Linked DNA regions of Neurospora crassa OR74A. The protein of the gene in region 1 interacts with the protein of each later gene in a pairwise test. Links are inferred from orthologs where the notes say so. Each region holds a gene or a part of one and is shown in the gene's direction. Other genes may lie near its edges.

Region 1 (4,044 bases):
CAGCCCGGACCAGGGGCCGGACCATTGCTCGGCGCGCGGGTCTTTGGGCCGGCAGAAGAGGTGGAAGACGTAGTCGCCTGGTTTGGGACCCGTCTTTTGGATGATGGCCAGCGAGTCGGGCTCGGAGAATCCGGTGAGATACAGAAAGTTGGAGTCCTGTCGGAAGGGGAAGAAGACGGCGCCGGAGCGGTATTTGAGTTCCGAGGAGGCGAGAATGGCGATGCCGTTTTCGGGAAGTGCGAAGGCGAGCTTGGAACGTCGCTCGTGATATTCTTGGGCCGTGATGCCGGGGGTTAGTTCACCCGGTTGCAGGATGTGGGGGTGCGTTTCGTAGACGGGCTGGCCGAATTCGAGGTCGGCGGCTGAGACTGTTGTCGTCGTCGTCGTCGTCGTTGCGTATGTCCGGGATGGGCGCCATGGTGTTGATGGTGGTGAGCTTGGGTGAGATGCGGGGAGGATGGACTTGGCAGATTGGAGACGTGGTTGGAGAGGCCAGTTATTCTGAGCGCGCAAGTGTCGAGAACATTGCCGCAGGACGGCTTGGGGAAGCTTCATGTCAAATAAAGGGTGGTTGTCAAAGGGTGATGAGGGGAAGGAATGTGGTGGTTAGGTGAGAACGAGGTGTGAGTTCACCTCGGCTCGCCGGGTTGGTGGCGTAGGTGAACTTGGTTTGGGATGGCTCGCAATGTTGATGATACGTATTTTACTAGGACTACCGGCACCTAAAGTCTAGCTACAAACTGATCATGGGGTTGTCGGAATCTCAACCTTTACCAACCTCCAGATTCCCCAAGCAACAAGGTACGGCGAGAAATGAAGTTGAATTGCTTCGCGACGGACAAGAGGTCGGTTCATAGGTAGGTATGTTTCGTAAAGGTAAAGACATGGGATCTCGTCACTTTATCATTCTCACTTTTGCTCAAATGAATGCTGACAGTTGCCAGGCGCTTCACTGGACTGCCAAGAGTCCAGGTCTCGCTGCCCGGGCATCAAATGCTGCCTGCCAGCTGCAAGCCGCGGATGTGGAGCCGCTGTTGGCATTCCCCAGCACGACCTGACAGCAACAACAAACCACAGCTGCCAGGCGTGGGTGCATTTTCATTGTCAGCGCTTTTCAGTGTAGGGCAGCCAGTGCAAGCATCCCGGGCCGGGCGCCTGCACTCCCCCCCCCCCCCCCCCCACATTGCCTAGAGGTTTGGCCTGCTGGACCCTGCTGTCGCGACTGTCATTATCAAAACCAAACACTTTGATTACACAAAGGTTTTTTGACCACCCACCAACACCAGAACATTGGATCTTGGCCTGTTCGCACCGGGCGTCGACTGACTTCGGGCGCGATTCGACATTGGAAGGTTTGCGCAGATCATCCAATTGGCCTTAGCCGTTTCCTTAGTTTTGTTCAACAACGGTCCCTTCTTCCTTCCCGTCACCGGAGCTCAGCGCGTGCCACTGCGACGACGGAGCCAAAACCTCCAGCGACAAAAATCGAGAGACGCGTTTTTGGAAGAACAGACAACTGTGCCCCAACCTCCACCACCAACCGCCTCACTTTAGTTGTTTTGCGCCCAGGCCAGGGTCGAGTGCTTCCTTGCTCCTTCCCAGCCAACGACCAACGATCGACGACGAATAATTGTCCGACCGCATTGGGCCATTGTTCGACCATCGACACCATCGATCACCGAGCCTAAACCACTTTGTCTTGTCTGTCGAGTCGGCACTCAGCACACGACTTGATTCTTGGTGTACCATAGTTATCCGGGGTCCCCCTACCCAAACTCCAAGCTAGTACCAGCACGCGACCAGACAGACAGCCCGGAAACTGTCTCCCTCCCTTACCATCCCCGAGCCGGCGTTTCGGAACAAACAGAAACAACACCACACCCATAGCATGTTGACTGGATATTTTACAAGACAACAGTATCGCTAGATCGACATCCCACAGCAATGTCGTCAACCACCACCACTGCCGCGGGCACCAAGAGGGCTCCTCTCTCCGACAACCCCAATGCCGCCAACTCGCCGCTGCGTGGGTCCTCGGCTACCGCCTTGGCACTACAGGGCTCTAAAAAGGCCGCCGTCCGCTCCCATGCCGATCAGCTTAGAGAGGAGCCATACGGTCAACCACCGCCGGCCAAGAGACAGATGATTGAACATGGCGGTCAACGCGCCGCCGCCTCGCCGACGAGCTCCCGGTCCAATGTGTCCAATATCACGCGCAAGGCCTCGACCATATCCCGGCCCATTGATCGGGAACGGCCTGAAAGGGCTTCTTCTAGATCAGGCACCACCGTGGCTACCAGCACCACCACCCGTGCCGAGAGGTTGTATGCCGCCTCCACCACCACCACCACCACCTCCACCACCACGACGACCGACCGCATCACCGCAAAGGAACTTGAAGACCTTAGTATATGGCAAACCTCTATGAGATCTCGCTTTCACAAGATGGTCTTCTACTTTGAGAGCATTCCCGACGAGCAACGTCACAAGCTCGCCAAACAAGTCGCTCAATTGGGCGCTGTAAGTCAACGACCCCTTGCCCAATGCAGGCCCAACCGCTCGGCTTATACTTACACTTCGGTCACAGCGCGAGGAAAAGTTCTTTTCCATCGAAATCACCCATGTCGTCACCACCCGTCCTATCCCCCCTGTAAAGCCAGTCCAGGACGAGAACCAGCCCGTTACCAACACGCAATCGACAAGTGAACAGCCAAAGACAATCGATCCCTCTCTCCTGAACCGCAATGGCGACTCGGTCCGACGCAAACTCATTTTCGACAAGCCCTCACTCCGGAAATCCTCTGTGCAGCCCCAGGAAGAGACGATGCCGAAGCCGAAAGCACGCAGCACCGACATCCTGCACCGTGCGCGGGACATGGGCAAGAAGATCTGGTCGCTTGACAAACTCCAGAGGATTCTCGGCATGGTCCTTGAAACGGACTTGTACAAGGCGGCATTGTTGGGCCGAGGCCACACACCAGCAGCCGCGGATAGGGCCAAGGCTCGCCAGCAGACTGCGAATGTACTCCAAATGCTCCAGAATGAGCGTGTTCACGGCCCCTCCGATCGCGATCCCACCGTTGTTACCAAGGACATCCACTACTTCAAGGGCCCCTACATTTATGTGTACGACATTGAGGAGAAGACGAGGCCGATCATGGTGAGGGAGTACCACAGAGTTGCCGACAAGAAGGACGGCGAATGGCCTCAGTTCCGTGTGGCATCCCAGGGCCGTTGCCCATTTGTTGAGGATTATGATCCCCCTGAAAGGACGAGGCGGGAAAAGACTCAGACCAAGGAGAAAGTTGTCAAAGCTGCAGATGCCGCCGCCGCTACCGAGAAGGCTACCAAGACCCTCCAGCCCCCCGAGGTACCATCACCCAAGCCGGTTACGGGAAAGCGTACTCTTAAGGAGATGGAAGCACCCAACGACCGTGCAACCGAAGTTGTTGATGATGCCCCCGAAACCGTCGAGTCAGCCAAGGAGCCCACCCCTTCGGTCGATTTCCGTTCGCAGAATGCCTTTATGAGCCATACCACCAAAGTTGGCCGTTTGGTAGCCGGAGAGCCCGTCGCTTCTGGCATCCAGGCCAACAAGCTCACATCCGCCATTCGCTCTCAGATGGTGTCGTCCACCACCGGTGTCCTTGGCGCCAAGGCCGGTATCAGCAAGGAAGTTTTGGGTCTTCAGCGCAAGGTTCTTCAGAAAGCTGGTGGTCCTTCTCTTTCGCAAGACTCTGGTGTTCGTCGCTTGGCCGAGATTGGTGTGGATGCCGCCCAGTGCACTCGTGCCGCCAGCTTGGGTAATCCGGCCAAACCCCCGATGCCTGGTATCTGGGAGGACGATGAAGCTCGGAAGCAGGAGCAGGCCAAGAAGGAGAGAAAATTGCGCAGGACCGCGAGCACACCCGTCCCCCAGACAAAGCCGAAGCCGCGCGATCCCAAGCCGGGTTACTGCGAAAACTGTCAAGATAAGTTCGAGGACTTTGATGCGGTGAGTTTCCTCAATATCAGGCATACTATGACGCTTACTAACATGACGGT
Region 2 (4,128 bases), on another chromosome or scaffold:
AACGTTGCTCGAGAACTCTGATAATCGCGCAGACAGACGGAAAGACAGGCCCGGCAGCTGAGAGGAAAATCTGAAGCACGCCTGTTTCCCTCGCGCCAGAAACCACTATTAAGCGAGACAAGAAACATGTTTCGTAGGCAATGGACACAACGAGCAAGACATCGGGAAAGGGCACAACCACAACGTAGAGGAGAACAACGACGTCGGAACAATTAAAGAGAATGGGGCACAGATGCGAAAGAAAAGAAGAACCCACCTCAGCTACTGGGGATATGCAGAAAACATACATTACTACACGCTGTCTTCTTTCCCTGGAGAAGCACAAAATGCAGTTACTCAAAGGGGCTCACTGGCTCAGGAGCGGTATAACCACGGGATACAAGGAAGGGCGCAACAGTCCTCTCAACTCTCGACCACTATCATATCCCAGTCAGCAAAAGACTTTGGCTTATCACGCAGCTTGGTTGCAGGGTTTCACTTACGATGCTCTTCTGCTGGTGGGGAACAACTCCATCCTTGATCCAAATACCATAGCTGCCCATCATGTTGGCAAGCATCATGTCAGTGGCCAGTCGGTCTCCCACGACGGCGATCTGGTGAGGACTGGTGACACCGGTTTCCGGGTGGGCACGGAAGTAGGACATGATCTCGTCTCCACAGCCTGGCTTTTTCACACCATGGGGGAGAACAGTGATGCCGGTGGCCTTTTCAACTGCGGATGCCATCTGGCCGTCCTTGTCCCAGCTTAGGGCACCAGCAGTGTTGGAAACGATCAGAAGACGGCGTCCTGGGTATGCTGCTCGTAGAGCCTCCATGCGTTCCTTGGCTTAATCAGTCAAAGCGTTCCTGAATGGAATTGGGACGAGAGACAACCCACCTTGTAAGCCTCATACACTTCATTGTGATCAGGATAGGCAAAGCAGTCATCTTTGTCGAGCACGACAGCCTTTATGTCAACCTTCTTCTCGCCATTGCCGGAGAAGGCTTTGTTAAGAGGGATGGGCAGGTCGTTGAACGTTGGAACTGTAGCGTGGGGCAGACATAGTGAAGGCTTGGCGATAAGCTTGAAAATGTTCAATGAGGCAGACAAATTGAGATTGAGCTTTGACATATTGGTCGCGATAGTCCTCTTGGAGTTTGTTTGGTTGAGATGACATGAGGTTGCAAGAAAGCCTATGAACTCTCCCACCTATAACCCTCCCGCGAAGTACCTAGAGGTAGCGTATGTGGTGGTAGACAGGGGCTTGGCTTGCCCCCGTTAGTAGGCAGCGAACCCTGCTACCCGCAGGTACTCTCTAGCAGGTACCTGCTGTCTTCCCATCTAGAGGTAGGTAGCGTCATCCCGGGCGTATGTACAGCTTAACGCGTCTCAATTAAGCGAGCGCGTCTTGACTTTACAAAAGTTTCCCGTAGACTTCGAATTGCAGAGGTAGGGTAAAGGTACAGCGGGACTCCAAGGCATGCCATACAACTTGGACAACATAAACCAAAGCCAATAACACAAACGGTATGCCTCCTCGTCGGAAATCAACAGATCAGCACGATCTAGTCGAACGCCCCTCTCGAAAGCGGCCACTCCCTGCCGACCCCTACGAAGTTCCAGATGAGGATGATGCGGTTCCCTCCGCAAAGCGTCAACGGCGACAACCAGAAGATGGAGGAACACCTTCAAAGCGAAACGCCACCCCGCGGAAACAGGTCGATTTCCTCCAGCGCGACCTAGCCTCTGTGCCAGAAGAACCCGAGTCACCTACCGAGCAGACACCCAGCAAGAAAAGGATAGGGCGACCACCGAAGGCCAAGACGGGAGGAACACCAAGTGGCAAGCCGAGCACACCATCCGCCCTGCGCAAGAAACAAGTCGACGAGACACCGATCAAGCTCAAAGGAATCAGTGGCGTCGACACACCCGGCAGGCGAGGAATTGCCGACCGATCGGCTAGACGGAAGAGTGCCAGGGCTCTCATCGACCGTGTGCTGGAGGGCGCCGTAAGCGATGACGAGGACGAAGAGCAACAAATCGCACGAGAGATCTACGAGTCAAGCGAGGAAGAAGAGGAAGGGGACACCCAACAAGAAAACCTCGCCGACCAAGAGGCCGAGTTAGCAGCAACCACTCCATCCAAGACAGGGAGGGGGAGAGGACGAGGAGGCAGACCCCCCGGTTTAGCACGACGAAAGAAATCGCCCACACCACCCCGAGACCTCCCTCCCCATGAACAATACTTTTACCAGAACAAGCCGGGATCCAACAAAACCTCGAACAACACGCTCTCCTCGCTCGACCTCCTCATCCACGAAGAATACTTCTCGCTTCTCCGCAACCTGGGTCAGGACCCCCACGAAAAACATATCGATGCCCTCCAGTCGCAACACGCCGCCTCCTTCCCCCAATGGGCCTTTGAGCTCTCCCAAGGCTTCAGCGTCTGCCTCTACGGCTACGGCTCCAAGCGTCGACTTTTGCACCAATTCGCCGAGTACCTCTTCTCCTCCTCCGGCGGTAATGACACAAACAACACAACAATCATCATGATCAACGGGCACACCCGCACCCTCACCTTCCGCGAGATCCTCACCACCATCTCGGCCGCCATCGACCCCACCTTCCGCCTACCCTCCGGAAACCCGCTCGCCATGATCCAAAACCTCTTCACCCTCCTCTCCTCTTTTGCTCAAAAGCCAAGAATCACCCTCCTCCTAGCCTCCCTCGACTCCCCCTTCTCCCCCCTCCGCAAACCCCAAACGCAATCCCTCCTCGCCCATCTCTCCTCACACCCAGCCATCTCTCTCGCTTGCACAGTCGACACGCCCGACTTCCCTCTGCTCTGGGACTCTAGCTTACGCTCCTCGTTCAACTTTGCATTTCACGACTGCACCACTTTTGCAGACCACAGCAAAGAGTTGGACGTAGTAGACGAAGTACACGAGTTACTGGGTAGGATGGGCAAGAGAGCGGGTGGCAAGGAAGGAGTGGCGTTTGTGTTGCGGAGTTTACCCGAGAACGCGAGGAAATTGTTTGGGCTGATTGTGGGGGAGGTTTTGGTGGCTTTTGAGGACGGTGGTGGTGGTGGTGGTGGTACATCAGGGGCAGGAGACTTTGCAGCGGGAGGAGAAGGGCCGGGGGTAGAGTATAGGATGCTTTACAACAAGGCTGTGGAGGAGTTTATTTGCAGTTCGGAAATGGCGTTTAGGACGCTGCTAAAGGAGTATGTTCTTCCCTCTGTTGTGACTTGGCTGTGGAGATGATTTTCTTGGTTTTAAAGGGACAACGGCTAACAGAACGGAAACAGATTCCACGATCATCAAATCATTACGAGTCACAAGGACTCGATAGGGACGGAATACTTGAGCTTACCTTTTAGGAAAGAGGAGCTGGAGTCTATCCTGGAGGAGTTGATGTCGTAGTGATGATTGACGACGATGTATCATGACAATGCTAAGTTTTGAATCGAGATGAATGGGACACACACAGATTTGACCTGGAAGTTATCATACACACGGCAACACCCACCACATGTGTTGGAATGGAAGCCTACACATCATATCATAGTCTTAACATATCCAAAATCCTGGAAAGCTCACCGCAGAACATCAATAGCTCAAGTCTTACGATAATTACAAAGTCGAAAATGTATACTTGCCACTTCGATGTTTTGCTTGTCATGCCATGCTCTCATGATAGGTACTCGATTACCGAAAGGACCTAGTCCACTACTTTGTTTGGCCACACACACACACACACACACACACACACATCGAATCACGAGTCATCGAGCACAAAAGACATCAAGAGTATAACGAAGTTGAAATGTTTTTGATTGGATTCCTCAGTTCAGACAATTCCGTCTCGCGCGCCACGGATGCCAAGGAGACAAAAACAAGCAGCCGCCATGTCCGGGGAACTTTTCCCAAATGCCCGAGCTTCGATCTTGGTTCAACCGTATAAACCAAGCCCAAATCCCAAACTATGTCCAGGGAAAAAACAAACATTGTGCAAAAGAACACCTCCCCTTCCCAGGCCTCTGCCCGTTTAACACTCTCCTTTTTGATTAGCCCATTCGCAGATGCCCTTTTAAGCTTTTGCCCCGTGCCCGTTCAAACCCAATTAAGAACCCAAGAAGGACGCAC

The links.
Region 2: the proteins of NCU05972 (region 1) and NCU01370 interact in a two-hybrid assay, tested with the Saccharomyces cerevisiae proteins (3 studies listed by BioGRID). The link is inferred for Neurospora crassa OR74A from reciprocal best matches to the Saccharomyces cerevisiae genes DBF4 and ORC2.

What each region holds. Positions count from the first base shown.
Region 1 is NC_026506.1:3,250,926-3,254,969, reverse strand, and holds the start of NCU05972 (sporulation-specific protein 6), read left to right. Parts: upstream 1-1,244; 5' UTR 1,245-1,944; coding exon 1,945-2,520; intron 2,521-2,587; coding exon 2,588-3,994; intron 3,995-4,044. Other genes in the region: NCU05971 (xaa-Pro dipeptidase), read right to left, coding at 1-555. UniProt on the Saccharomyces cerevisiae protein: Regulatory subunit of the CDC7-DBF4 kinase, also called DBF4-dependent kinase (DDK), which is involved in cell cycle regulation of premitotic and premeiotic chromosome replication and in chromosome segregation.
Region 2 is NC_026505.1:3,801,279-3,805,406, reverse strand, and holds NCU01370 (hypothetical protein), read left to right. Parts: upstream 1-1,382; 5' UTR 1,383-1,509; coding exon 1,510-3,206; intron 3,207-3,290; coding exon 3,291-3,405; 3' UTR 3,406-3,628; downstream 3,629-4,128. Other genes in the region: NCU01371 (UPF0660 protein, variant), read right to left, coding at 333-416, 483-821, 878-1,111. UniProt on the Saccharomyces cerevisiae protein: Component of the origin recognition complex (ORC) that binds origins of replication. It has a role in both chromosomal replication and mating type transcriptional silencing. Binds to the ARS consensus sequence (ACS) of origins of replication.